Linked DNA regions of Diceros bicornis minor. The main gene of each other region encodes a partner of the protein of the gene in region 4 in a complex. Links are inferred from orthologs where the notes say so. Each region holds a gene or a part of one and is shown on either strand. Other genes may lie near its edges.

Region 1 (7,670 bases), on a different chromosome or scaffold from region 4:
AAACTGCCTACCCTACCAAGACTCACACCATAACAAGTCCAGTTCATGAATTACCAGGGCTCTGACCCTGTCCAGGAGAAGACCAACTTAGGAAACCAGAGGAAGATCACAAGGCCACAGAGGGGATGGAGGGATTAGGTGGTAGGGAGGTATTTGGAGATGGTGTGCCAAGCTGAATGGTCAGCACATCCCTGGGCAGTGGAACAGCTGCCTTGCTCCTGCCCTCCAGCCAACCCCTTGACGTTCCAGCTGCCTTTTGATTACATCTTGTTAAGTCTCAGGAACAGAGAAAGCTCACATTTCCCTCACTAACATACAGTGTGATTTAATCCTATGGAGTCAAGGAGGGTTTATGGGTAACCTCCTTCTCTCTACAACTTAAATCCATCCTCAGCAGGCTTCTGTCAACCAAGCCCCATCCTCCAGAGACCTGACACCCCATCAGCATCTCCACCGCATCTTCTGTATCCTTTGTCCCTACCCCTAACTTCTCCATCAGAAAGTTTTTCCTTTTGTCTTCTGCTCTTGGCTTCCTAGGTACTGGGACTCACCATGGCTTTCCGGTCTTCCTCAGCCATCTTGAGGCGCTTCTGAGCCTCTTCATAAGCCTAGGAGAAGAAACCAAGAGTGGAGGGGTGTGACGCCAAAAGCCCCCAGGCCCACAGCCATTCCCCCTCCAGAATCACAAGGATCATTCAGATGTTCCCTAACACAAAGAAATGTCCCTTCTCCACGAGGAAGCTCTATGGCTACAGGTTCAGCAGAGACTCACCTTAGCCAGCAGACCCAGAGGGGTCTTCTCCTCATAGAGATGAACTTACCACTAGAGGCAGCCCCTTGTGTTCCCAGAGATCACTATCTGCAATCATACTCAACCTCAGTTTTGACCCAGAGATTTTCCTGGGATTTAGAGAACATGCAGACCTTCTTGTCTGACCGCTCCAGGACATTACGAGTCCGATCCTTGTCCCGCTGCCGAACCCGCTCCGCGAAGGCATCCCGTTCCTCCAAGTCCTGAAGGCGTTCTCGCTCTGTCCGCTCCCACTCATCCTCCGACTCTGGCTTCTCCATTTGCTGTGTACTCTCCCTGCAGCCCAGCCCAGAGGATTAAATAAGGGCATCCAGAAGGCATATCCCATCATCCACCTGCCCCATCTCTCATCCTATTTCTGACTTACCCTGTCTTTCTCTTTCCTTTCTCAGAAAATTCCTCCTCTTCGTCTTCCTCTTCCTCCTGACGTTTCTTCCTGAGGTGTTTCCGTTTTTTACGCTTCTTCTGGGGACTGCTCCCAGCCCTGCCCATGGTCTCCTCACTGCTCTCCTCACTCTCTTCCAGCAACTTATAAGATCGGTTCTTCTCCAGCAGGGCTCGGGCCTCTCGCTCTGCTGCCCGAGCTGGCTTTTCTACGACTGCCTTCCGTGGCACCTGTCAGGAGAGGAGGAGATGAGGGATGTGAGCAACTCCTGATCTCTGACCACCTACTTTACCCTGTTTTTAATGTAAGGATTGACTTGATCTTAAATCAGCCTTCATTCTTTCTCTTCCCCATGGCTTCACGCCATGTTCGTCAGAGCCTCTCAGTTTCCGAACGTCCTTTCAGTCATTCATTTAACAAACGTTTATTGAAGCCTGTCCCATGCACCAGGTACTTGTTAGGTACTAGGGATACAGGAATAAACAAAAGAGACAAGCATCCCTGCCCTTGTGGATTTTACATTCTCAAACCCAATTCTCAATTGCTCAGCCTCTGCTATTCCCAATGATTAAGTCATGCCTACACAAGGACTGACATGCTACTTTTGCAGAAGGCTGTCACAGGCCTGGCACTGTCTCAGACTCCAGGGATACCCTGGTAAACAAATTAACATAAAGTCCCTACTCTCATATCACTTACATTCTAACCTAATCTCCCTTGACAAGCACCATATGGGACAACCAGGTCCCATCCAGGCTATTTGCCATTCTCTGAACATGCTGAACACTTCCACTCTTCCTATATACTTCCTGAGCACCTGCTCTGAAAGGTACTCTGTTAGGTGGCAGGAATACAAAGACGAGAAATACACACTCCTGTCCTCCAGGAGCTCGCCTTTTATACTTTTACTCATTCCTCCTTCTCTACTTGACAAGCTCCAGGGAGTCTTTGGGCCTGCTTTTCCTGCTCACTACCCCCACCTCTTCTGCCCTCCCACAGCACCTCCCACACATCCCTTCTACGGCCTCGCTATTCACCAAGGTGGTCCATGGGCCGTCATCACCTGGAAACTTGTTAGACATGCAGAAACTAAGATCCCATCCCAGACCTACCAAATCGGAATCTGCATTTTAACAAAGGCCCTGGAGAAATCCTATGCATGTTAAAGTTCGAGAAACACTGCTCTATAGCACTTAACCCAGCACACTTAGCCCTCCTCGTTCTCCTCCCCTAAGCTGGACGTCCAGCACCCAGCACACTACCTAGACGACAACGGACAACGGATGAATGCCTGTAAACTGAGCTTAATTCCCCGATGCAGTTAGCCCAGCCTCACCTGGATAAGTAACCTGGGCCCCGTCCCTGCTCCACCCCCTCTCTCGCGGTTCCCACGCCGGCCCCGCCCCAGCCGCGCCCCACCCCTCTCGACACCTTGTTCCAGAGTTTGAGGGCGAAGTCCCGGGCCGGCCCGCTGAGGTCCAGGGTATCAGTGTCCCGCAGGCGCTGCACGAACTCCTCGGCCGAGGCGCAGCGCTGCGCGGTTCCGATCAGGAACTGGGCCACGTGCCGCTCGCTCAGTCCCAGCACCGAGTGCAGCTCGTCCTGCACCCAGCGCTCCAGCCCCGCCGGCGTCGCCATGGCGACCCACGCTCTGTTCTCTGCTCTGAAGTGTCTCCAGCAGCCGCCCTGGCGGCCAGGCCGGGCTGAGGCCTGGAGCCCGGGGCTGGAGCCTCAGCTCCTCAAGGGAGCCGCCTTAGGACCTTGGGATTCGGTTTCCGACACCTCAAAGCCGTCTTCTCGGACCGCGGAGGCCGGAAGCGGCCGCGCTTTTCCGGCCTGAGCACTACGGTGGCCGAGCGAGTTCAAACCTCGCAGAATCGTTATCTGAAGCTCGGGGGAAAACAATGTCCTCTCCGCCCCTACCGAATCTCTGTCGCCCCCTGATGGTCAGTTCGGGGGTGTTTCACTGATTCATTCAACTAATGCTGAGAGCCTAAGGTGTGCTAGGCAATTTTTGTCGCTAGGGATATAGCAAAGAACAAATCAGACAAAAGTCCCTCACCGAGTTTACATTGCGCGGGGTGGGAAGGAGGCAAGATACATAATAAATAAAACATGTAAGTTCTATGGAGCCAAAAATAAGGCAAGATGTATGTGTGTTGGGGGGGATTCCATTTCAAATCAGAAGATCAGGTCCCGCTTATTAAAGATTAGCCCATGCTGATTAGGAGTGACCTTTGGACTGGTGCCTGCAGCAGGGTTGAATACAGGTTAGGCATAAGCGAGGACCTCCAGGCCAGGAAGTTGGGATCTGGGGGAAAAACAAAGGTGCCCACTTTTCTTGGTGCTGTGTCAGAAAGTCATTTTAAAAGCTCTCCGACTCAGGAAAATGCAATCTCTGTTCTGCTTCTTTTTTTGAGGAAGATTGGCCCTGAGCTAACATCTGTTTCCAGTCTTCATCCTTTTTTTCCTTTTTTCTCCCCAAAGCCCCAGTGATAGTTGTATGTCATGGTCTTACATCCTTCTAGTTGCTCTATGTGGGACACCGCCTCAGCATGGCTTGATGAGCAGTGAGTGGGTCTGTGCCCAGGATCCGAACCAGCGAACCCCAGGCCACCCAAGCGGAGCGCACGAACTTAACCACTGTGGCACCAGCCTGGCCCCGTAGTATGTTCTGCATTTTCGCTAACAGCTTGAGAAATTCACTGGTGGCTGCTTATTTAAAAACAAGCAGAACTTGTTACTTGACTCTCTACTATCTGACTTCTTTTTACCCTGCTTCATACTTTTTTTTATGATTAATTGGACTTAGCAGACACCTGTTGGGAAATGAATCGTTGTTATTCCAATGAGCAGCCACAGGTAGCTCCATATCACTGACTTCATTGACTTCTTGGATGCATTGTTTTATTTCTCAGATGGACTGTGGGCACCCCTGGCATCTCAGAGCTCCCTGCCTCCTCTTTCCTGGGTCACAACTGTTTAGGATCTTTACCTAATTAGCTACTGATATAAGCATTGTTTCCCTCCACACCCACAGCTTCTGTGAACTGCTTCTGTGAACTGGTTCATTCTTTTTTTTTTTTTTTTTTGGTGAGGAAGATCAGCCCTGAGCTAACATCTGATACCAGTCCTCCTCTTTTTTGCAGAGGAAGATTGGCCCTGGGCTAACATCCATGCCCATCTTCCTCTACTTTATATGGGAAGCCGTCACAGCTTGACAAGCGGTGCGTTGGTGCGCGCCCGGGATCCGAACCTGTGAACCCTGGGCCGCCAAAGCAGACTGCGCGCACTTAACCGCTGCGCCACCAGGCCGGCCCCTGAACTGGCTCATTCTTTTGACAGCTTGCTTGTTCTCTTGCTAGTAAATTAAGGACCTTCAGCATATATTTAAGATCAATTTGTCTAACACATTTTGTTTTTGGTAAAGGGGAGTCCCCTCTGACTAGGCTGAGGAGCATCCTGTAGTGGTAGAAGGACTAGGACTAGTCAACCATGCCTTTACTAGCCTGCAGAACTAAAAAAATGACCTGATAAATAAAACATAGGTCTTCTACATTTGTAGAAGATAGAAATTCTTTGAAATGAGAAAATCTCCCAACATCAACTATACTTGGGTAACAAAGGCATGAATTATTGATAGTTCTTAAACCTTTGGGAATATAAAACTCATTGTCTATCAGAGACCCCTTTTCAGGAAACTGCACTTCTAAACATACTATATTTTGCAGCAATTTCAGATTAATTATTTATGGTCTCGGGTCTTGGAGTAAATGCCTCTGAATTAGCTACTATCACACACTAGCTGGCTGCTGGCATTGCTATAGGCTTCTGAATACTGGTATCTTTCAATTTATTTTTTTTTTTAAAGATTTTATTTATTTATTTTTTCCCCCAAAGCCCCAGTAGATAGTTGTATGTCATAGCTGCACATCCTTCTAGTTGCTGTATGTGGGACGCGGCCTCAGCATGGCCGGAGAAGCAGTGCATCGGTGCACGCCCGGGATCCGAACCCGGGCCGCAAGCAGCGGAGCGCGTGCACTTAACCGCTAAGCCACCGGGCTGGCCCGGTATCTTTCAATTTAGAGTGTCCTCTGCTTCCAGTTTTTTAGCTCTTTTCTTCATTTATTTGTTCAGTCATTCATTCTAGAAGTAATTTTGTGTGTCTATTAGGTGCCAGGCGTGGTGATGCTGCAGTAAACTCAACCAACATGGTCTGCCCTCATGGCACTTCCAGTCTGGTGGCTACAACCTGCCCTTCCTCAAACCAGTCCTTCTCCTGCTAGTCCTTCGAGAAACCAGTGCAGGGCTCTCCCAGAGCCCTTTCTACATGTCAGCTCTGAGTTCTTGGTTCATCCTCATCATTTTCCCCTCCCACCGCCCATCGCCACTTCCCTCTCATGGCCAACAGGAAGATGGGAGAGGCTTGGAACGAGGAACACAGAGTTTCCCCCGCATGCACTTTTTTTTCCTAAAGAAGGAGAAGCAATGGGAAAGTCAGAGAGAGCTCCATTTTATTAGGGACAATTAAAAAAAAAAAAAAAAACACAGGCAATTGATAAGGAAGGAGAAATGAGGGAGGAGAGTTGAGGTGCCTCGTTAGTCACCCCACATCCTTGCAATTCAATTCAATTGAGAACCACTAGGAGAAACAGAATTAAATAACTAGATGGGAGAATGGAGTTAAGATCCCCAGCCTTCCCTCTTGGGGAAATCTGAGGCACAGTAATACTGAGCAAAAATGGAGGAAGCCACACCCCAAGGTCACTCCCAGTGAGGCAACAGCAGGGGACAGGGGAGAGGATTCCACATAGACACGGCAAGTAGGCGTGGCTTGTAAACCTGGGACTTTGGCAGGTGGGGCGGGGAGCTGGTGGGGTTTGTAATCCAGGCTGCAGTCAAGAGAGGAGGCAAGAGCTGTAAACAAAGGGGCAGTGACCTAAGGAACAGGATGAGAGGTGACTGGAAATGGAGTGGGGGCCAGGCGTCTCAGGGAGATGAGTGCTGAAATCCTGAGAACCTCAGGGGGTGGTGGGGAGACAAGGAAGGTTGTAGGGCGAGTATACCCTGCCCATGGAGATGGAGAGGGTGCTCCATCTCCATTCCCCAGGGAGCTCTGTGCTCCTCCCTGGGAATTGGTGCTCACTCTTGGATCACCTAGGATACACCCACACGCCTGACGCACTCACACCAGGGACCTGGGGTGAGGGTGGAAATTGGGCGATTGGCTCTGCCCCCAGAAACAGGATGAGGAAAGCGAAGTGGAAGATGTTGGTTGCCCTTCCCTGCCAGGCTCATTTTCAGGGTCTGTCTGCTCTGAATCTTCTGGGCTCCAGGATCTTCAGTTCTGGGAAGGAGCGAGGTATATCTCTGTGTTGGAAGACGGTCACCTCCGGCAGGACTCATCTGTGGGAGAGGAGGCAATAATGACAGAGAATGAGTGAGGCCTCTGCTCCCCACCTTCCCCACCCTCTCCTCACACTGAAGGCCAGTTGGCATATGGGAAATCTTATAACATCTTCCACATCTTGAGTGCTTGTTACTACCAGCAACAGCAGCCATCATTCATTTAGCTCGAATTCTGTGCCAGGCTTTTTTTTTTTTTTTTGGTGAGGAAGACTAGCCCTGAGCTAACATCCATGCCAATCCTCCTCTTTTTTTGCTGCGGAAGACTGGCCCTGGGCTAACATCTGTGCCTATCTTCCTCCACTTTATATGGGACGCTGCCACAGCACGGCCTGACAAGCGGTCTATCGGTTTAAGCCAGGGATCCGAAACTGGGCCGCCAGCAGCGGAGCGCACGCACTTAACCGCTACACCACGGGCTGGCCCCAGGCATTCTTATAACTCGTTTAATCTCACCTCAGGCGAGGTTAAGTAACTTGATGTCCAGCCATAGTTCCTAGGTGCTTCACAAACATTACTTAACCCTCTCAACAACTCTAGGAGGTAGTTATTATTAACCCTATTTCATAAAGGATAAACTGAGGCCTGAGGTCACGTAATTTCCCTGAAGTCACACCACAAGTAAGAAACAAGATGGAATTCAAACTCAGGCCTGTCGGAACCAAACCCTGTGTTTTTAACCACACTAGAGCGCTCAGAAAGAATCTTGGTTTTGAAATCTGGAGACCCCACGTGCACTTCGCTTCCCAGGACCTCAGTTTCCCCATCTGTTAAAGGAGTGGCTTGGGCTGGATGTCCTACCAAGCCCCCTCCAAGCGCCAACTCAAGTTCCCCGCTTCCCTCCTGGGCCGCAGTGCCTGCTCTGAGCACCAGGGGGCGCCCTCGGGCCGGCAGAGCCTGTGCTCACCCACTATCAGGGCCTTGGTGCGCAGCCCGCCCTGGAGCTCAGGCTGCAGCAGGAGCAGCTCTTCCTCATCCTCTTCGTCGTCGGGTTGGGCCGCTGGGGGGCTGGCGGCACTGGGGGCCTCAGGCTCCGGGCCCAGCTCCTCCAGCACCGAACTCTCGGAG
Region 2 (6,978 bases), on a different chromosome or scaffold from region 4:
TCTATGCTTCTTAGCATGAGCATAGAAGATGATATGGCTATATGATTAAGAATCTGAGCTCGAGACGCATTATTTACTGTCTCCATTATTTACTGTCTGTAGGAACTTGAGCAAATGGGTCAGCTCCTCTGCACTTCAGTTTCTTTGTCTATAAAATAAGGCTAATAATAGCACCTACCTCATTGGATTATTGTGACAGTTAAATGAACTAATGAATATAAAGTTGTTAGAGGGCCGGCCCCCTGGCTTAGCAGTTAAGTGTGCGCGCTCCGCTGCTGGCGGCCCGGGTTCAGATCCCGGGTGTGCACCAACACACCGCTTCTCCGGCCATGCTGAGGCCGTGTCCCACATACAGCAACTAGAAGGATGTGCAGCTATGACATACAACTATCTACTGGGGCTTTGGGGGGAAAAAATAAATAAATAAAATCTTTAAAGTTGTTAGACAGAACCTGACACATAGTTTGTGTAATTAATCATGTGACCCAAGGCAGATGACTCAACCTTTCTGAGGCTGAGTGTCTCATCAGTAAAATGGGGATAATAATAACACCTATCTTGTAAAGCTGTTTTGAGGATTAAATTAGCTTATTTATTTATTAACTCTTCATTTTGAAACAATTTTAGGCTCATGTGGAAGTTGCAAAAATAGCACAGAGCATAAAAATAAACATATAGATCATTGGGATAGAGTTGAGAGTCCAGAAACAAATAAATGGTCAGTTTATTTTTGACAAAGTGTCCAAGACCATTCAAAGGGGAAAGAATAGTCTTTTAAACAAACGGTGCTGGGACAACTGGATATCCACATGCAGAAGAATTAATTTGGACCCCTATTTCACACCATACATAGAAATTAAATCAATATGAATCATAGACCTACATGTAAGAGCCAAAACTATAAAACTCTTAGAGGAGCGCCGGCCCAGTGGCTTAGCAGTTAAGTGCGAGCGCTCTGCTGCTGGTGGCCCAGGTTTGGATCCCAGGCGCACACTGACGCTCGCTTGTCTGGCCATGCTGAAGCTGCGTCCCACGTACAGCAACTAGAAGGATGTGCAACTATGACATACAACTATCACAAACATACAACAACAACAACAAAAAACAAAAAAATAACTCTTAGAGGAAAATGTAGGAGCATATCTTTGTGACTTGGGTTAGGCAATGATTTCTAAGATTTGATACCAAATCTTAAGCAATAGAAGAGAAGATTTGATAAGTTGGGTTTAATTAAAAACTTTTGTGCTTCAAAGAACACCATAAAGAAAGTGAAAAGATAACTCAAAGAATGGGAGAAAAATTTTGCATATCATATATATGACAGGGAACTTGTATCTAGACTATATAAAGAACTCCTACAACTCAACAATGAAAAGACAACCCAATGTTAAAATGGGCAAAGGACTTGAAAACATATTTCTCCAAGGAAGATATGTACGTATATATATAGATAATATATATGTAGTATTTTATTACAACAAGGATGAATCTCAAAATCATTATGCTAAGTAAAAGAAGCCAGTCACAAAAGACCACTATTCTATGATACCATTTATATGAAACGTCCAGATCAGGCAAATCTATAGAGACAGAAAGTAGATTAGTGGTTGCCTAGGACTGAGGAGTAGGAGGTGGGAGGAAACGGGGAGTGAGTGTTAACGGGTACAAATTTTCTTTTCGGGATGATGAGAATGTGGAACTAGATAATGATGATAATTGCATGACTCTATAAATATACTAAAAATCATTGGATTGTATACTTTAAACAGGTGAACTTTATGAAATGCAAATTATATCTCAATAATGTTGTTTAGAAAATAGTAAAGAGATTTCCTGTATACTCTTCACCCACTTAAGAATTTCTTTTCTTTTTTTTTTTTTTTGTGAGGAAGATCAGCCCTGAGCTCATCCATGCCAATCCTTCTCCTTTTGCTGAGGAAGACCGGCCCTCAGCTAACATCTATTGCCAATCCTCCTCCTTTTTTTTTCTTCCCTTTTTCTCCCCAAAGCTCCGGCAGATAGTTGTATGTCATAGTTGCACATCCTTCTAGTTGCTGTATGTGGGACGCTGCCTCAGCATGGCCAGACAAGCGAGCGTCGGTGCGCGCCTGGGATCCGAACCTGGGCTGCCAGTAGCAGAGTGCATGCACTCAACCGCTAAGCCAGGGGCTGGCCCAAGAATTTCTTACATGACAATAGTAGGACAATAAAAACCAGAAAAATGACATTGGTACAATACTATTAAGGAAGCTATAGAGAATATTAAGATTTTACCAGAGTTTATAACAATATCTGGCACATAGTGAAGCTTACGCAGGTGGTAAGGACTTCACTACAATGACGATGATGAACATAATGATGATAATGTACATAATAATGATGATGCTGGACTTTCTACTGTAGCCAGATTGATCGGCTGCTGTTTTAGAGCATGCCATGTTCGTTTCTCTTTCTAAACTCTAACTGTAGCAGTTTCCACCACCTGGGATTCTTTTTTCCTTACTCTTTCCTTATCCCATCAAATCCTTCACATCCACGCATCTCCACCAAATCTTTTTTTTTTTTTTGTGAGGAATATCAGCCCTGAGCTAACATCCATGCTAATCCTCTTCTTTTTGCTGAGGAAGACCAGCTCTGAGCTAACATCTGTTGCCAATCCTGCTCCTTTTTTTTCCCCAAAGCCCCAGTAGATAGTTGTATGTCATAGTTGCACATCTTTCTAGTGGCTGTATGTGGCCTCAGCATGGCCGGAGAAGTGGTGCGTCGGGTGCGCGTCTGGGATCCGAACCCGGGGCCACCAGTAGCGGAGCACACGCAATTAACCGCTAAGCCACAGGGCCGGCCCTCCATCAAATCTTTAAAAGGCAAAAGATTTATTCCATCTGAAGAGAAAAAGACGCATCATCAAATCTTTAATAATGCTCCTCTCCCTCCTTTGAACTGTAGAAGCCTCCATACCAGCCAGCACTTGCCTGGACTCTCCTTTGCATTTTCCTCTAGTTATTTCACCTATGAATCCTGAATTCCCAACTAAACTGAGAGGCTATATGGGTTTCATTTCCTCTGCACCTTCCACAATAAACTTGGTGTGAATTCAAAAAAATTTATCCTTAAACTAGATTCAAAGTTGTTACCAAAGGATAGAGCAAGAGAGAAAACAAGGATGGCAGGAGATGGAGAGCAATTCAGGCAGTAAGACAGGCAGAGCCTGAGGGAGTCAAGAAGCATTTATAGGGTGTCTACTATACACTCCATAGTGTAATCATTGCCAGAGAGAGAAAAGAGGAACGGAGGAGAGGAAAAAGACACCCAGCAATGTTGTTCCCCAAGGCCTCTTTTATTTTTCTAGGTTCATTGACTAACTCTTCCTTGACTTCGCAGGCAGGATTAAAATGCTCTGCCCCTGAACTCCTGTACAGGGAGTTCACGCGGCACTGTAGGAACCTGGGTTTTTGCCTGCCTTCCCGCTACCCTGTGAGCTCCGTAATGTTGGCTTTTTCCCTGCTGTATTCCCAATCTCTGATACATAGCGGACGCTCAATAAATGATGGTTGAATGAACGAATGAATGAATGCATGAACAAAGGACTGATTGACTCAGAGCTACTATTGTACCCCAAGTCTGCATTTATGAGACTAGACACAGAATAATGTGCAAATTTTGACAAATTTATTAAAAATCTGGAAGCCTGGGTCTTTGACTGTCCGACGCCAGTCACGGATAACAGTGCGAGGTCGCCTAGAGACCGGAGACAGCCCCTGAAACGCGGGAGGCGGAGCTTACGGCTCCTCCGACCACACCCCTTCGCGTTCAAATCTTTCCGCCTATGGACCCGCCCCCTTCAGCCCGAAATGCAACTCTAATTGGTGAGCTCTGTAATCCATCTGAGCTCTTCGACGTCTATTGGATCCACTACTGAACTCCGGTTGCGCACTTCCCGGTGTTGGGAACGCAGAGCGGACGTAGGCTTGCCGCCATTGCGCTGCGGGGAAATCGGCCGACGGTGTGAGGGGCTTTGGGGGTGCGTGAGGGGCTTCAAGGGCCGGGCTGCGGGGGGCGTGGTTGGATCGGGCTGAGTGGCCCGAGGGATTGGGCAGTACGCACTCTGAGCGAGGCGGGACTGCAGGCCGGGGTTCTCGACGTGTTCCTGCTGCGCCTCTTGTAGGCCCGGGCCTTGTGGCTTGTTAATTTTTCCCTTCCGCCGCCCCCCAGATTCTCCGGGCATGGCCGGAGTATTTCCATACCGAGGGCCGGGTAACCCGGTGCCCGGCCCTCTAGCCCCGCTGCCAGACTACATGTCGGAGGAGAAGCTGCAGGAGAAAGGTGAAGAACGCGTGCAGGCCTGGCTACTTGGGGGCGGGTGTGCGCGTGCGCGCAGCGGGTTTGAACCCTTTCCCCGTTTTGGCAAGTGTCAAAACGTTAGGTGTCAGTTCCCTTATTAGCCCCATTTATTTTTTCGTCTGATCAAGTCTTTAAAAGCGTCTGTTATTTGCAGGCACTGATCCAACCAATGGGGATACAATAGTGATGAAGACAAACTCCTGCCCTGATAAGGTTTAAATTGCAGTGAGGGAAATAGACAATAAAAACTTAAAAAAAAAAATCTGTAACAAAAACGTCAGGCAGTGATAAATGTGATGAAGGAAAAAATAAAGCGGAGTGAAATGACGAGAATTGGCAGGGAGCACTCCAGCTGTACGCACAGCTCTCCCTCATCCAGACAGGAGCTTACCCTAGGGCAAGAGGTGGGAATGATTAGGCCAAGGGTGTGCAGTCCTTTAAACTGAGGTGTCTTTGTAGCCCGCAAATGGCAGCAATTGCAAGCCAAGCGCTATGCAGAAAAGCGGAAGTTCGGATTTGTGGATGCTCAGAAGGAAGACATGCCCCCAGAGCATGTCAGGAAGATCATTCGAGACCATGGAGACATGACCAACAGGAAGTTTCGCCATGACAAAAGGGTCTACTTGGGGTAAGGAGCATCCTGGAATTATTTCATTTGGAGCTTGGCCCCTTTCCCTTCTCCCTATCTCATAGGTCACAGTCCTGGATAGCTGCTCTGTCATTTTGGGACAGGCATCTTCTGTGACAGCCCATCTTGGTGGTTATAAGAGAAGAGGGAAAACCACTAGAATTCTGTGATAATTTCCAGATCTTCCAGTTATATTCTTTATTGCCCTAATTTTTCTTCTTGGTCTGGGACTGGAGCTTAATTTGTCCTGTTGGTGCTATGGTAAGATGTTCCTATTTTTGAATGGATTGGAGCCCAGAGCAGGACACTTTGTACATTCTTGTTGCCTGTAACTCCTCAGTGACCAGAATTCTGAGGTTCCGGATGTTTAACTCCTGAGGTGTCTATAATCTTGTTTTTCTCTGTCCCCAAGCTGATTGAGTATAGGTACAAATGCCTTAGCAAATCCCTTTTCTGTTTGGACACAAAAATGTTAGCCACTTAATGAGCTGGTCTAAGACAGACATGGAAGTTTTGTTTATTTCAAAAAAAAAGAAAAAAAAAGTGTATATATATGTTTTTTGAGAACTGTGCTAGGTGCTAGGGATATAGCAGTGAACAGGAAGTAATGGCCTTTTTGGAGCTTACGGTCTAGTGGCATGACAGATATGAGACAAATGGTTACAATAAAGTATGGTAAATATTGTATTATTATTTATGGGACGGTACAGAGAGAATAGAATGTGTGACAGCCTAAAAGCTGTCTTTAGAGGGACAGCTGTTGATTTAGAGGGACTGAAACCCAGTATTTTGGGACTGTGAAGTTTAAGAAGAAGAGTGACATAATTGGAGAGGGAGAGGCAGAGTTGCCGATCATGGCGGGCCTGTCTATGTTTGGGAGTTTGGACTTTGAGGCAGGGTTTTCCGTGGAATGTGATACTATGGTACCGTGTGGCTTCTGTGCACGGCACAGGTAACAGCTAACACTTTGTCATTTCTAATCATCTCTCTTCCTAACGTTGCAGTGCCCTAAAGTACATGCCCCATGCAGTCCTCAAGCTCCTGGAGAACATGCCTATGCCTTGGGAACAGATTCGAGATGTGCCTGTGCTGTACCACATTACTGGAGCCATTTCCTTTGTCAATGAGATTCCCTGGGTCATTGAGCCTGTCTACATCTCTCAGTGGGGGTGAGATAGTGCTGGAATATAACCATGTGTGGTGGTGGTGGTTGTGGGGCAGTGGGTAGAAACCATTGTGTGACATTGTTGGCTTCCAGGTCAATGTGGATCATGATGCGTCGAGAAAAAAGAGACAGGAGGCATTTCAAGAGGATGCGTTTCCCCCCTTTTGATGATGAAGAGCCGCCTTTGGACTATGCCGACAACATCCTAGATGTTGAGCCTTTGGAGGCCATTCAGCTAGAGTTGGACCCTGAGGAGGATGCCCCTGTGTTGGACTGGTTCTATGACCACCAGCCACTGAGGGACAGCCGGAAGTGAGTGACAGTTGGAGTTAACACTCCTGTGGGAGTTTTGGAAATCCACAAGGAGTTCTGGGAGAACAACGGGTAGTGTGGCTTGGCTAGCTGGTATACCTCCCTGATGCGGGCTCTTCTTTTTTTTCCTAGGTATGTGAATGGCTCCACTTACCAGCGCTGGCAGTTCACGCTGCCCATGATGTCCACTCTCTACCGCCTGGCCAATCAGCTCCTTACAGACTTGGTGGATGACAACTACTTCTATCTGTTTGACCTGAAGGCGTTTTTTACCTCTAAAGCACTCAATATGGCCATTCCTGGAGGCCCCAAATTTGAACCTCTTGTTCGAGATATCAACCTACAGTAAGTTGGAGAGAATAGGGATTTTAGGCACCTTGGGTTGAATAAAATCTACTCTTGATCCTTAAGATCTCCTTGTAGCTTCCAAACTCTCCAACTAGTCTGCTCATCCTTGATTTTGTACCGTAGGGATGAAGACTGGAATGAGTTTAATGATATTAACAAGATCATCATCCGGCAGCCTATCCGC
Region 3 (7,298 bases), on a different chromosome or scaffold from region 4:
TTAAACAGAATTCGAGATTACTACAATACTTGGCTGTGAAGTTTACCATCGCTAGTTGCACATCCCTTAGTTTAGACAACCTTAGCAGTTATTATCCTGGCCTTGAAATTTAAGGACCTGCATTCTAATCTAAGTAGAGCTGAGAAAAACAATAGGCTTCCTGTAATCAAGGTTGGTTTCTATGATTCAGTAGAATTGTTTTAGTGCCAATAAAAATACTGTAGAAATTTTTCAAGATGTTGTTACAATTTCTTTTTTATATTACAAAATTCTTGGCATTGGCTCAGAACTGTGTGTGAAACTATATTATTCCCTGTATGCGTAATATGTTACTGTTTTCTTCCATCTGCCTTGATATTTTCCACAATTGGCATAGCTAAAATTAAAGTCTAACTGAACATCTTTTAAAAAATATGTAAGGGCAGAGCATCTTAGAATTCTATATCTACAGTGAACACCAACTGCTTAATTCATTGTGCAGGAGACCCAGTAATAGATTTATAAAAATCTGTGTCACTTTGCATCCTAGAGCTTCCAACAAAGATTAAATCATTTATTCATAACTATTATGTTGCTTAAATGTTTAAAAAAATTACTTAAAATAAATGCTATAAACAAAGAGGATATGTTACTGGGAAAATTGGGCAAGAAAGTAAGCAAGGGAATTTCCAGAATTTTTTCCATCTCTAAATATACAGACTGGTCCATTTAAGAGTTTAGAATAACAACTGTTACAGTAGTTTTTAATAAGTTGTATTATTATAGAATAAATTCATTAACAAGATATTGTCTATAAAGACAAATATCTATTGAGAAAAAAATAGATATTTCTCCTTTATTTTAAAAAGTGTCAGAAGGAGATTATCAAGATTGGAAATAACAATTTGACATAACAGAATACTTTCTGAATGTTATTTTGAAAGGAAACTTTTGTTTGTATTTTTATGATGACATTTGTCTCCAGGGAAAAAATTAGAAACACTTTTCTGAACATATAATACACTGAAGAGTCTTTTCTAGTTACATGTATTTTATGATGACTTGTAAATCCTATTTTATGTCTGCTCTATAAGAGCTAAAGGGAGAAAAACCCTGGAGACAGAGCTATGACATGTTTTCAAGTTCATTAAAAATGAACTTTCCATCTAGAATCGGCCCATTGTTTCTTTTTTCGTCTTGCCTCAGGAAAGAACATGGTAAAATAAAACCACTCCCTTCCTGCAATCCCCATTAACTTTACTGGGTAAATGAACTATTATCTCCTTTTTCAGAGTATAAAGAGACTTACTTTATTCTTCATCAATAGTATTGAAAATTGCTAATGTTCATTTTTTTCTTGTAATGGAAAATTTAAAGTACTGACTTTCTTAAAAGCATGTTTTTCTGAATTTTAAACTCTTATCAAGTAGCAACAATGCCTTGAATTTGGTCCCTACCCTCATTATGGTATGGTGAAAATAAAATAAGAATAGAGATAGAAAAGAAAAACGAGGAAAAGAAAAGGACTTTACAAAAAAATTTGGCATTACTTTGTCTTTAGAATCTTATGAAGATTAAGGGGGATGTTGATGGGTATGAATGAAATAGAATCAATTTAAAGAACATTCATTAGACCCTACAGTACACCTGGAACTGTGGTAGGCAGAGAGAAGAAAGAAAGAGGGGGGAGAGAGAGAGAGAAGGGGGGGAGAGAAAGCGGGGGGAGAGAGAGAGAAAGAAAAGAAAGTAAGAAAGAAAGGAAAGAAAGAAAAGCAAAGAAAGAAAGGGAAAGAGAAAGAAAGAAAGGGAAAGGGAAAGAAAGAAAGGGAAAGAGAAAGAAAGAAAGGGAAAGAGAAAGGGAAGGAAAGAAAGGGAAAGAGAAAGAAAGGCAGAGGGAAAGAAAGAAAGAAAAAGAAAGGGAAAGGGAAAGAAAGAAAGGGAAAGGGAAAGAAAGAAAGGGAAAGGGAAAGAAAGAAAGGGAAAGGGAAAGAAAGAAAGAGAAAGAGAAAGGAAGGAAGGGAAAGAGAAAGGAAGGAAGGGAAAGAGAAAGGAAGGAAGAAAGAAAAAAAGAGAGAGAGAGAAAGAAAGAAAGAGAAAGAAAGAAAGAAATTGCTGTCTTAAAGTGGCTTATGTCTGGTTATAAAAATAAGATAAACATGAAACCACCAGCTAGCAATGCTAGCCTTTGTAGCACCTACTCTAAGCCAACCATCATGTTGAGTATTAGGAAACATGGATAAATAAGCAATAACAGCTCACGTTTAATGAATAAGCACTATGTGCTAGTCCTCTGCTAACCACTTTTCATGGATTATCTCATTTAATCTTCACAACAATCCTATCAGTAGATACTATTATCCTATGGGTAAACTGAGAATTAGGAAGGTTAAATAACTTGCCCAAGGTCAAATAACTAGAAGGCATTGTGGTGGAGATGAGATTTGAACCAAAGTGATTTAACTTCAGAACCAATGGATTTAATCACTATATTGCTTCCCAAAATTCTTGACTTTCAGGAATTCACAGTCTTTTTGGGGAAGAGGTAACCCTGTAGATACATAATTATAAGAGAATACATTGAGAGCATTCTGAGAGCTGTTAACATCCTTGCTGGATAATGAGAGAGCCCACCAGGTCTGCAAGTCAGAGAAGCTTCACAAAGATGGTCACATTTGAGCAGGGTCTTGAAGGATGAGCAGGATTTATTAGAACTGGGGGCCAGAGCATCCTAAGTGTAATAAAGTAAAATCATTAAGGACTGGGGTTATTAAGGGAAAACATTTGGGAAGGGAAGGGTTTTACGCCAAACTTACCGAAAGTATGTAAGATTTAAATTGAAGTGCAAGAGATGTTCGGAGGTGGGCACATGCCAATTGCACACAGTATTCCCTTTACTTGGAATGCTGCTCCTGCCCCTTTTCTGCCTATCCAATTTTATTCATCCTCCAAGACTAGATTCCTGTCAATTCCTTTGTAAAGCTTCCCAAGCTATCTATGTGGCCAGTGGGCAAATTATTTAACCTCTGAGTATGAGGAACTTCATCCTAACATCTGTCTCAAAGGATAGTCATAAAGATTAGGAATAAATGTATCTGTCAGTTTCTTGGCATATAATAGGCGCTCAATATTTAAATATGCAAAAAAGCCAGGATTGGCTTGGTATTTAGAAGGAGGCTGAGCTCTAGGGTGCTTTGAACTGAAAGGCCCTTCTGTAAGAGCTTCTGAACCTCCTCACTGATGTTTCCCTTAAATCATACCTACGTGTCTAGTATTCTTGAAGCTAAAAAAGGTCTTTTTGCTTTATATATTAAATTTCATGTACCTTGTACATAATGTTTGTTGTCTTTCTCTCCCACTCATCCTTAAGCTCCTTAAAGGGCAGAAGACCTTGTAGTTTTGTTCTGTACACTGTTTTATACTGAGCAAAATGCCAGACAAATAGTGTGCAACTAATATATAGTTGTTTGCTGAATGAATGATGGGTGCTTTAAAAACATTTGTTGTATGAATGATGTTCTTTCTGGCCTTCGCTGTTCACAGTCTTTAGCTTTAAGTTCCTAGGATACAAATAGAAAATAGACTAAGGCAGAGAATTTGTTTGCTTTCTATTCTTTTCAAAACAAAAGTGCAAAAGTATTAAGGTTTCTTAAGTGTGATGACATTAACATACAGTGACATCTGGTGGTTGCCTGTTAGACAATGTTTGTTGAAGAAATACGGAATACGAAGTCTGTAAGAAACTAAGACTCCTAGATATAACAAGACAAGAACGATGAATTAAAGTAGTAAAAAATAAAGAGAAAACATATTTTAAATCTCTACCCTAGAAAAGTTTTAAAAAATGCCGGTTATGCGTTTTCAATCCACTGGACTTTTAAAAGAAAAGGTAGATTCTTGAAGATTGAACGGTTTTTACGAAAATTGCAACACAGTGAGTTGGTGGCAGGAAAAACAAATTGATTCATACGCGTCTGAAGAAAGATCCTGGCTTGGGTTAAGACGCAACTTTATAGAGGAAAATAAGACGACTCAAAAGTTTCCGTATTTTGCAAAGTCTTCCGGGTTAGAGGAAGAATTTATTCACAAGGCAGAACATCTTTAACGGTCTCCCGAAAATTTCTAAGGGAGAGTGAGTGAGTAGCCGCAGACACAGCAGAATACTCAGTGGATAAGAAATATTTCGCGATCTCACTGCCCCGGAAAGAAGCAACTGGGCGCGATCCACGCGGACTGGACCGATCGCACGCTCGGCCGCAGATTGGTCGAGCCTGCCCGGGCTGCGTGGGGGAGGAAAAAGAGGAAGCGTGCTTTTTCAAACTCGCCGACCCAACGTCGATGGACGCAGGCCACTTCCGGCGTAGCCATGGCTGCTAACGCTACCACTAACCCGTCGCAGCTGCTGCCTCTAGGTAATAGTTGCCCTGTGGGGCGCGCGGGCGGGGAGCTGAAGCTTAGGGTTGGGGGCCCAGGGGCTGCGGGGGAGGCTGCCCGTGTGAGAGCGTTAGGAAAATGTATCGGACCAACTGCTTTCCTTCTCCGCGGCTCGTCTCTGGTTTTAAGTCTTTGCGCCCTCAGGCCGCCCACGTCTCCTCAGCGTGGTAGGATTCCTTGAGGCAGGGACTTGTGACTCCCCAAACCAAACCGCCACTGGAAAAGGTTCACACTTGGTGAATGCGTCGCCAGCCGCCTCCGTTGTGAGCTCACCTCTATAGTCATGGGATTCAGTCCCGTTCCTCAACCTGGCATGTAAGCTCCCCAGATTGCACCCTGTCCTGTAGCTGGCCAGTTACTGCGAGAAGCACCGGGGTCTGGAATGAGCCTTAAAAGAGGAATCTGGGGGCAAGCCCGGTGGCGGTGGCTTAGTGGTTAAGTTCACACGCGGCGCTTTGGCGGCCTGAGCGTCTCCGGGTTGGAATCCCAGGCGTGGACCCACGCACTGCTCATCAAGCCATGCTGTGGCTGCGTGCCACATACAAAATAGAGGAAGATGAGCACAGATGTTAGCTCAGAGTCAATCTTCCTCAGCAAAAGGAGGAGGATTGGCAAGGGATCTTAGCTCAGGGCCAGTCTTCCTCACCAAAAAAAAAAAAAAAAAAAGAATCTGGAACTAGCTCTATTTGTCATTCATTCATTCAGCAAACAGTTATTGAGCATCTATGCACCAGACAATGTGGCCCGGCACAAGTCCACAAAATTTGTGTGTGTGTGTGTGTGAGAGAGAGAGAGAGAGGAAGATTAGCCCTGAGCTAACATCGGATGCCAATCCTTCTCTTTTTTTGCTAAGGAGGATTGGCCCTGGGCTGACATCCCTCTGCATCTTCCTCTATTTTATGTGGGACTCCGCCACAGCGTGACTTGACAAGCGCTGCATCCTCTGTGCCAGGGATCCAAACCCGCGAACACAGCCGCGTCTCCCCCCCCCCCCCCCCCCCCCCCCCCCCCGCTCGCCTCCTGCAGCCAGAAGGGAGCACGCAAACTTAACCATTAGGCCACTGGGTAGGCCCCGCTATTCAACAAATTTAAATCACGGCCATTGCCTGCGAATAGCACACAAACCAATGGAGGAGCTAGGATGCTGAACAAATAAACATCATACCAAATAACGCTAAGCCCGGTAAAGAGATGTTCGAGCTGCTATCAGAGTACAGAGGATAGACTTCTTAGGGTGAGGGAGGTAGTGACAAGAAGGAATCTCTGGTGAAGACAGTTATGCCTGTCTCTTCCTACGATTTTGTAGCTGAAGAGTGATTTAGTTAGTGGATGTGGCCGTGATTGAAAAGTTTTTTCCTTCATTCGACAAACTTTGAATCCCCAGCATATGCCAGGCACTGTCCATTGAGGGTAGAATGATCTGCCCTCATGGGGCTAAGAGTCTAGAGGGGTTCATATGTTAATCAAATAATCTAAAATAATATAAAACCACAGCCATGATAAATTGCTACAAAAGGGAAGTGGAGAACAGGGAGAGCTTTTTTGTTAATGTAGAGGTATATAGTATAAGATCTAAAGTTTTTGAATGAATTCTTTTCCTGGTTTGTATTTCACCATATACAAGTAATAAGTTCTGGTAGGCACTCAGATATTTGTGGAAGTAATGCATTGGTAAAATAATCTTTTTCCTCTCCCTCCCTTTTTTTTCTTTAAAAAAATATATCCATAGAACTTGTGGACAAGTGTATAGGATCAAGAATTCACATTGTGATGAAGAGTGATAAGGAAATTGTTGGCACGCTTCTAGGATTTGATGACTTTGTCAGTATCCTTTTAAAAGGTGGTGGTGGTATGGGTTTTTCTTCAGTATTTAAGAACAAAAGAACTATAGACAGTATTTACTGATTATTATAATAAAAATTAATTTGGGGCCTGCCGGTGGCATAGTGGTTAAGGTCATGCGCTCTGCTTTGGCAGCCCGGGTTCCAGGGTTCGGATCCCAGGTGCTGCCTGACGCACCGCTTGTCAAGCGATGCTTTGGCGGTGTCACATATAAAGTAGAGGAAGATGGGCACGGATGTTAGCCCAGGGCCAGTCTTCCTCAGCAAAAAGAGGGCAATTGGCAATGGATATTAGCTCAGGGCTCATCTTCCTCACCCACACCCACAAAAAAATTAATTCTCAGGGACGTTGTGATAGTGTTTTAAAAGTTGTTTGTGCTGGAAGAAGATTACCTACCTACCTACCAATCACAAGCATTTTGAATTTGAGTCATTGTGTTAGACGTTATAAGTAAAACTGAACAGAGGTAGAAGCCAGAGTAAATTCAACCTGGTATATTTATTTTCTTAACACAGAATTTCAGATATGGTACTGGAAGATGTCACTGAGTTGTGAGTAATGTTAAAAATTAAAGAATGGGGAGGGAGGATCTCTCAGTTTTTAATTTAAGGCAGTTTTAGTACTGTTGAGTCAGTAAAATGATATATGCGAAAACATTGCCTGTTGAAATTACCTTAAAATAGAAATTTTATCCACTGACGCTAGTGATTGGATCGGAAGGTTATTACCTCAATGTAATTATTACTAAATTGGTAGGAAATTAGTGGAGACAAAACTTTAAGGTTAAAGATACTTAAAAACAGCCAGGAATCTTAGGGCTCAGGTCACATCAAGGAACTGATAATAAGAACATTTAATGCTTTTGATTAAATTAATTGCTCTGTAATTTATATATAATATAAAATGTAAATGATGGCTAAATTATATTGATTATAATCGACCATTATTTCCGCTTTCAGAATTGAATTGAATACAGATTGGTTTAATGGGTAGGAATCAGTAGTAAGTAATAGTAACAAGAGTGAGGATAGTAAACGTTTCTTATT
Region 4 (7,781 bases):
AATCTGCATAACAATTTCAGCTTTCCCTGAATTATACCCTCAACATTTATGAAGGAGCATAATAATAAGAGAAACTGCCATTTGGATATTTCTGATTCTCTAAACCATTATACTGGTAGTCTAGCGTTTAAGATTCAGTGCTCTCACTGCCATGGCCTGGGTTTGTTTGCTGGCTGGAGAACTACACCATCTGTCAGTCAGTTGTCATACTGTGGCGCCTGCGTGCTGCTGTGATGCTGAAAGCTACGCTACAAGTATTTCAAGTATCAGTAGGGTCACTCGTGGTGGACAGGTTTCAGTGTAGCTTCCAGACTAAGACTGACTAGGAAGAAAGACCCGGCCACCCACTTTCCAAAAAGTGGCCATGAAAACCCTACCAATAGCAGTGGAGCATTGCCCGATATAGCGCCGGAAGGTGAGAGGATGGCGTAACAAGATGGAACAGGGTTCCACTTCACTGTATATACAGGGTCACTAGGAGTCGGGATTGACTTGATGGCACTAACAAAAACCATTATATAGCTTAACCTTCAATCCAGACATACAGATCTTAAAGTTATTATAAGCCACAAAATTGAAATCAGGAAATTATAATTGGTAGTAAAAGATTACACACTTATTGTACATGTCTAAATACAGAAAAGTAAAAGTCTCCCTTTTTAACTCCCTCTTTGTATGCAGGGCTATTCTTCTACTACATTTTTACATGCGTTTATAAGCATATGCATAAACTTTGTTTTTACATAAATTGGACCATACTTTAACGACTTCTATGACTTGTACTCTCATTTAGCAGTTTATACTGAAGATATTTCCATGGCCACATATATATATTTTGCTATTACAAATCCATTATGCAAATCCTTATCAATACTAATTGTTACCAACCTTCTATCTCTAGGACAATCTCTAGGAAGACAAATTAGATGGCTAGAGTAGTATATAGGTTAAAGTTATAGTAACCAAGACACAGGAACAACAAATAGATCAACGAAACAAAATAGAGTCCGGAAATAAATCTACATTTATTTAGTTGATTTTCTACAAAAGTGCCAAAGCAGTCCAACAGGCAAAGGAAAGCCTGTTCAACAAATGATGAAATCCATAACAACATGGAATAATTAAAAATTCATATAGAAAAAATGAACCTGGACCTCTAACTCACACCACTTACCAAAATTAACTCAAGATGGATCACACCTAAACATAAAAGTTAAAATTATAAAGCTTTTAGAGAAAAACAGGAGAAATCTTCACGGTTTGAGAGTAGGCAAAGGTTTCTTTGGCAGTACATAGAGAGTAAGAACCATAAAACCAAAAGCTGGTAAATCAAGACTTCCTCAAAATAAACTTTTGCTCACCAAAAGACATTACCTACTAAGGAAATGAGCAAACAAACCACAAACTGAGAGAAATTATATCTGACAGAGGATACATAAAGAATTCCTACAACTCAACAATAAAAAGAAACAACACAAAACAAGACACTTCACAAAGACATACAAATGGCCAATAAGCAGGTGAAAAAGTGCTCAATATCATTAATCATTAGAAAACTGTTAATTAACACCATGAGACACCACTATACAAGGACTAAAATGGCTAAACAGATTGATGACAACAAATGCTGGTGACGATGTGGAGCAAGTGGAATTCTAATACACTGCTGGCGGGAGTGTAAAATGGTACCGCCTTGGAAAATGGTCTGGTAGTTTCTCATGAAACTAAACGATTACCTATGCTGTGATCCAGCAACTCCACTCCTAAGTATTTACCCAAGAGAAATGAAGGAAAAAAACACAAAACTTACACAAGAATGTTCAAAACAGTTTTACACAACATACGTAACTCTTAAATGCACAATGGACTACTATTCACTAATAAAAAGGAATAAATTAGCGATACACGTCACAATGTGGACGAATCTCAAAAAAAATATGCTGAGTAAAAGAAATTTTACACAAAAAGCAGGCATACTGCATGATTCAAAATATATCAAATTATAAATATATGAAACTATAAACACATTCAAACTGGCAGGTATCGAGAAAATGTACTTTAAATTCTGAGACTTTTTCTCCAAAAGTTCTAGCTCAAACAAAAATGGACTAAAAATTAACCTTAAATGCCTTCTCTACAAAGTCCACCCTGAATAAAATATTGACGGTTTTATATGTTATTTCAAACATACTAGAAACTATCTACTTGTCTGTCTTCATCACAAAACATAAAGTTCCAACAAGGCAGGGGCTCTACCTTCTGAAAAAAATTCCAGTATATCTCAATAAAGCTGGAAAAAGACCAACTTATGAAGTCAGAAGTCCAACCCCGATTTTAAAACATTTCGGAAATGGGTTTCGGTATTTCCAGATAAACTCCCGCAACTTCTAAGTACTCTTTTTAAGGGCGACGTAAGTTTCATCACGAAAAGCGGATCAACTTAAACTACTTTCGCAGGAGCATATAATTTTCCTTTTCTTTGTCTCCCACGTTCTCAGGGAGCGTGGACATAGCTATATTTGCCGGTTCTGGGAGCTGAAAGGAGCCAGAAAAGTAACCTAGACTAGAACACGAGTTGTACTCGATATAAAAATCGGTAAGGAACCGAAACTACGAGTTTGTAAGCCTGGCGCTGCACCTTCAAGGCCTCTAAGACACTAGGTGAGAAGAAACGTCTCGGCCTTACGTCTACTTCTTGGAAGACACGCGGGATCCCCGCGCGATTCAGTCCGAAACCCACGCGCGAGCGCCCGCGGCCTAGATGGGGCGGGAGCGGCGGGCGCCGGAGGCCGTCAGCAGGCCGCGCGCGCACGCGGCTTTCGCGCCTCCCGGAACTGGGGCAGCCCGGCTCCCGGCCCAAACCGTCCGTTCACAGCTCCCATCCCGCTTGGTCACCTCCTCACCTCACAAGCTTCATGCTAGCGGCGCCGTCGCCCTTTCGATCCGAGAGTGCACGCAAGGCCACAACCAAGCGCCAACGGACTGGGAGTATGAATGGCCGGAAACGCCTACTGCCGGGGCTCCGACGCAAAGAGCGCGCTGAGCACTGCTTACGCACGGCGGAAACGCCGAGGCCGGCTGGGCCGCACTCACTTCCGGCGCGAGGGTCGCCACAGCGCACTCTGGCGGCTGGAGGTGTACCTTGCGACTGCTGAGGGCGTTAGGACTAGTCTAAAAGGAAATTTCCCGCAAGAGGGAGATTTGAGGAGATTAAATCCAATTAGTAGGCCTGTCGCCGTCGCACTTCGCCACTACAGGGCGCCATGTGTTATGCAGCACTAAATATATCCCTGAACGAAGGGAAATTCTGAGAGAAGCCCAAAGGATTATGCTAATTCTGCTCCAACACCGGGAACCTCAGCATTACTTAATGTACCTGAAGAAAATCACACGATTTAGCTGATTATTTTTACCTTAAATTCTGACCACAAACCTCAAAGAGGTACTACTCAGAGACTGTGTTATGCTTCTATAATAATCTCACAAATTAGTTCATATCTTCTTTCTTTCCTCCTTCTGAAACCTTTTACAGGCCATCTCCCAAATCACTCTCTGCTAATGTTTCATACTTTTTTAAGAAAACAGAAGCCATCCTTCTGCTTTCTTTCCTATCGCAAGGGTGGAAGCATTGTTGCTTCTTTCAAAGGTAAATTCTTTTTCATTATAGCCTGGATCCCATCTCTCATTTTCTCAAGAATTTTACTCCTTCAGTTATCCCCTTCTAACTTGAATCATCAATTTCTCCTTCTCTACTGAATTTTTTCCATCAGCAAACAAATTTATCTTAGAAACAAAACAAAGTTCTCCTTTGCTGCAGCTCCAGCTACTGCCAGACTTCGATCACAGAAAAAGTTCTTGAATGAGCTGTCTACACTTATTTTATCATCTCCAATTCAGTCTTCAAACTACACTGAAATTGCTTGTCTAATAGTTATCAAAACCTCCAAGACAAACATCTATCTTCATCTTACTCAATATCTCAGAAGCATTCAACACAAACACTCCCCTTTTGAACACCCTCCTCTCTTGGCTTCCAGGACGCCAAGCACACCTGGTTTTATTCTTATCCTACTAGCTACTCTTTCTAGGTCTCCTTAGCTGCCTCATCCTCTACTGAGCCATCACATGTTGGAGTGCTTTGGGGCTTTCCCTGGGTGTAGTCTCCTTATGGATACTTTGGTCTTTAGCCTAGGTGATCTCCAAAACCACAGCTTTAATTTGTATCTCCAGCCTGGACTTCACCTCTGATCATCAGAAGTCTTGGGTATTGTAAGGCAATGCTCATCATATTTTAATATGCATAGGAATCACCTGGAGGAAACTTTAGAATGAAAATTCTGATTCAGTTGGTGTGGGGTCCGAAATTCTGCATTTCTAACAAGACTTTAGTTGATGAAGATGCCCCGAGTCCATGGACCACAATTTGGGTAGCAAGACTGTAATTGACATTTGTGCGTTGTCTTCTCAATATGTATCCTCTTCTCTTCCCAACAGTTCCTAATAGTGTCCTGGTGATCCATGTGGTCCTAAGGAAGCTGACTCTACCCTTAACTGTCACTCATTACATTCCACTACTTGTCCACAGTGGGCTTGGGATGTAAGCTGATCCAATCAGACCTTCGCAGGGAATACTCTTCCCTTTTGGATGTGAATGGAGAGGTAGTAGCCTCTGCAGTTTGGGAACTCACCTAGAACCAAGAGAAAAACCAGTCTTAGGAGAGACTTTTAAAAAAAAAAAAACTCATGATGATATTAATGAGCCCCTGGATTAAAAACAATGCCTAAATGTGCCAATTTAAATTAAAATTAAATAAATAATTATATTTATGTTTTATATATATTTTATATTTATTATATATATTTAATATGGTGTGAGACTTGTAAGGATTGCTATGCTCTGGATCGTGGCCACAAAACAAATATAGGGGAACAGATCACTCAGAAGCAGAGGCCTATTTTGTGGGAATGGAAACTTGTAAATATGGTTTGTGTGTGTGTATGCCAGAATTTAAGTTACTGAAGATAAAGTGGTTTACACATGGAAAGAAATTACACCAGTTGTCTGACAATCTAAAGGTGAAAGAAGATATAAGTCCGATGCTCTGGTAGATAACCAGCTTCAATCAGGTCAGCAGTCTACTCCTGACTTTTTTCCCAATTTAAGACATTTGGCATATGTCATTAAAGAATATACCTATAGGGCTTATATATATATAATATACCGCGTGGCTTAGCTGTTAAGTACACGCGCTCCGCTACTGGCAGCCTGGGTTGGGATCCCGGGAGTGTACGGACGGACCGCTTCTCCCGCCATGCTGAGGCCGCATCCCACATACAGCAACTAGAAGGATGTGCAACTATGACATACAACTCTCTACTGGGGCTTTGGAGGGAAAAAAAAAAAGGAGGAGGATTGGCAATAGATGTTAGCTCAGAGCTGGTCTTCCTCAGCAAAAAGAGCAGGATTAGCATGGATGTTAGCTCAGGGCTGATCTTCCTCACAGAAAAAAAAAAAAAAAAAAAAGAATATACCTATATTAGGAACTAGAGGTGGGGGAGGCAGTAGACAGGCTTTTGCTAAGCAACACAACCTACGGTGATGTGGGTAATGGCCTCACCTATTTTGTTTTTTAAACCATGGAATCTCCCCAGACTAAAGTAACAAGCAGTTCAATAAAGTTTTGTGGAAAATGTCAGAAAAACATCAGGCTTCTCAGAGCACATTTTGGTTGTACCTGGCTTCAAAAAAAGAGGTCAGGAAGGGAAGAACCTACCTATGATCACCTCTCTTTAGATTCTCAAAGGCAAGAGTAGCGTTTATCCATCCTCATATATCTGCAAAAAAGGAAGGAGTAGCACAGAAAGCGTTCAAAAGCAGTGTGGCAACCACGATCCTAGTGACAGAACGCTGGATTCTATCTTTAGAGGCTTCGAAGAGCCAAAGCTTTATCTGAATACCGGCCATGACTAAATCTAGTGGAACATTATACAAGTTCTTGTCGACGCTTGTGCTTTGGTGCACAAGGAGGAAAGTGTGCACGGAGACGGTGAAGTCCTGCATTTTTTGGAAGCGAGGGAGTGCAGTGCCGCGGAAGGAGAGAGAGGGTCAGTTATCTCCTTTTTTCGTTACATTGGTCCATGTCGAAGATTAAAGGTATGTAACCTAGAGGTCGCAGAAGAGCAGTACCCGCAACCAACAGAAGAAGCGGGGGCGACGAATTTCCACGACAAACCACCACCGCTGGGGGCGTGGGTGTTATTATTCCATGAGACGACCGCGGGAAGAGCAAGAGGCCGCCGCCAGGGGGCGCCGCCGCTTCCCCGCGAGCAGCCCACCCGCGGTGAGCGCACGCGAGGCCTCCCACCGCGCCTGCGCCGAGGATGGACGCAGGCTCCCTGTTCCCCGACGCCCAGCCGTCCCGGCCGGGGTGAAAAACGGAGTGACACGCAGCGAGCGTGGCGGCCATCTTCGTCTTCTGGGTACGTCAGCTGAGCCGGTTAGGGCTGAAGAGGAACGTTGCGCAAGCGCGCCCAAGACGGTCGCAGGTAACTCCCATCTGACCGGCGAGGCGTCGCCGTCGTCGCCGGAAGTTCGGCGTTTCTGCGCCGCGGGAGAGGCGGCGGTCGCGGCAGAAGCGGCTGAGTGTCTCTTGATACCCGGATGTGAGGCGATCTGCTGGCTCGCGTTGGACCCTCAGCCGGGAGTGAGGAAGGTACGCGAGCGTCCCGACCGTCCCCACCGCGTGCTGTCGCGCCGCCTGCGTCCTCGCCTCCCTTTCTCCAGCCCCTCCGGAGAGCCGGAGGGTTCTCCCCCTCCCTGTCCCCCTTCTGTGTCGCGTTGTCTCGCACGCCTCTTCCCACTTCTTTGGTCCGGGCTCCTGGCGCCCCTGGGAGGGGTGGGAGGCGACCAGCCTGCGCGTCTCGGCTGCCCAGTCGTCGCATCACCTGCTGCTACTTGCCGGGCGGTCAGAGGTAGTGAAGGGGCCGTGACCGCGGACAGGCGCAGGCCGGGGCTCCCTAGGCGGCCGCGAGGGTTCACAGAGCGCGGCGGTCGCTTGCAGCCGTTGCGACTACTGGGGCGGTGAGGGCGGCGGCCCGCAGGTAGCCCGGGCCTTGTCCCCGCCCCCGGCGTCCCTCTCTCCCGGCGTCTCCCCGGAGCCAGCCCCACCAGCCGGCGCGGAGCTGCCGTCCCTGCGGCTTGCTCCCCTGCCCCCGCCGCCCCTCGCTGACCCGGCCTGAACCCTCAGGCCTCTGCAGTCTGCGCGGCGGGAGATGGGCATCTTGGTTCCTCAGTCTTTAGCCTGGGAGGGGAGCAGTGGCCCGGCTCCAAGCTCATAGAGCAGTTCGAGTTGGGCAGGGGGCGTCTGGGCACAGGTAGGGCTGCTCTGGCGTAGAAATGGGTGTATTGAGGGCCGTAGTGAAGTTTATAGAGATAGAGAGAAGCGAGCAGAAGGAAATTGGTCCTCGATTTTCATCACTATTCATAAGGTTCTTTTACTACAGGGGTTTGTTTTACTCAGGCAGAATGGGATAGCAAGTCCAAAAATTAGAGAACTCTCCCACCCCCACACCCCCAACCTTCCCCTCCCCCACCCCTCAATGTTAAGTTCTGAAAACCGAGCAGGTACGGTGTTTTCCGAGAGAGGAGGGCGCAGCAGGGAAGGAGGAAGGAGTTAAATCGTTGAGATTTGAGAAGTGCTGTGAACCTTGTTTTCTGTAGCCTTTGGATAGTTGAAATGGATTAACTGCAGCACAAAGTATTTCAATAGTATCATCGAATG

Evidence for each region.
Region 1: SNRPD1 (region 4) and DHX16 share a complex: the UniProt entries of both Homo sapiens proteins name them as parts of the minor spliceosome. The link is inferred for Diceros bicornis minor from reciprocal best matches to the Homo sapiens genes SNRPD1 and DHX16.
Region 2: SNRPD1 (region 4) and PRPF8 share a complex: the UniProt entries of both Homo sapiens proteins name them as parts of the U4/U6-U5 tri-snRNP complex. The link is inferred for Diceros bicornis minor from reciprocal best matches to the Homo sapiens genes SNRPD1 and PRPF8.
Region 3: SNRPD1 (region 4) and LSM5 share a complex: the UniProt entries of both Homo sapiens proteins name them as parts of the U4/U6-U5 tri-snRNP complex. The link is inferred for Diceros bicornis minor from reciprocal best matches to the Homo sapiens genes SNRPD1 and LSM5.

Annotation. Positions count from the first base shown.
Region 1 is NC_080753.1:34,433,334-34,441,003, reverse strand, and holds the start of DHX16 (pre-mRNA-splicing factor ATP-dependent RNA helicase DHX16), read right to left. Parts: upstream 3,011-7,670; 5' UTR 2,835-3,010; coding exon 2,628-2,834; intron 1,427-2,627; coding exon 1,179-1,426; intron 1,088-1,178; coding exon 925-1,087; intron 609-924; coding exon 552-608; intron 1-551. Other genes in the region: PPP1R18 (phostensin), read right to left, coding at 6,583-6,602, 7,510-7,670. UniProt on the Homo sapiens protein: Required for pre-mRNA splicing as a component of the spliceosome. Contributes to pre-mRNA splicing after spliceosome formation and prior to the first transesterification reaction.
Region 2 is NC_080757.1:16,065,455-16,072,432, forward strand, and holds the start of PRPF8 (pre-mRNA-processing-splicing factor 8), read left to right. Parts: upstream 1-3,970; 5' UTR 3,971-4,021; intron 4,022-4,212; 5' UTR 4,213-4,223; coding exon 4,224-4,323; intron 4,324-4,800; coding exon 4,801-4,969; intron 4,970-5,973; coding exon 5,974-6,138; intron 6,139-6,227; coding exon 6,228-6,446; intron 6,447-6,578; coding exon 6,579-6,791; intron 6,792-6,917; coding exon 6,918-6,978. UniProt on the Homo sapiens protein: Plays a role in pre-mRNA splicing as core component of precatalytic, catalytic and postcatalytic spliceosomal complexes, both of the predominant U2-type spliceosome and the minor U12-type spliceosome.
Region 3 is NC_080742.1:56,561,647-56,568,944, reverse strand, and holds the start of LSM5 (U6 snRNA-associated Sm-like protein LSm5), read left to right. Parts: upstream 1-4,280; 5' UTR 4,281-4,342; coding exon 4,343-4,388; intron 4,389-6,139; coding exon 6,140-6,235; intron 6,236-6,775; coding exon 6,776-6,803; intron 6,804-7,298. UniProt on the Homo sapiens protein: Plays a role in pre-mRNA splicing as component of the U4/U6-U5 tri-snRNP complex that is involved in spliceosome assembly, and as component of the precatalytic spliceosome (spliceosome B complex).
Region 4 is NC_080755.1:13,552,487-13,560,267, forward strand, and holds the start of SNRPD1 (small nuclear ribonucleoprotein Sm D1), read right to left. Parts: upstream 3,013-7,781; 5' UTR 2,918-3,012; coding exon 2,904-2,917; intron 1-2,903. UniProt on the Homo sapiens protein: Plays a role in pre-mRNA splicing as a core component of the spliceosomal U1, U2, U4 and U5 small nuclear ribonucleoproteins (snRNPs), the building blocks of the spliceosome.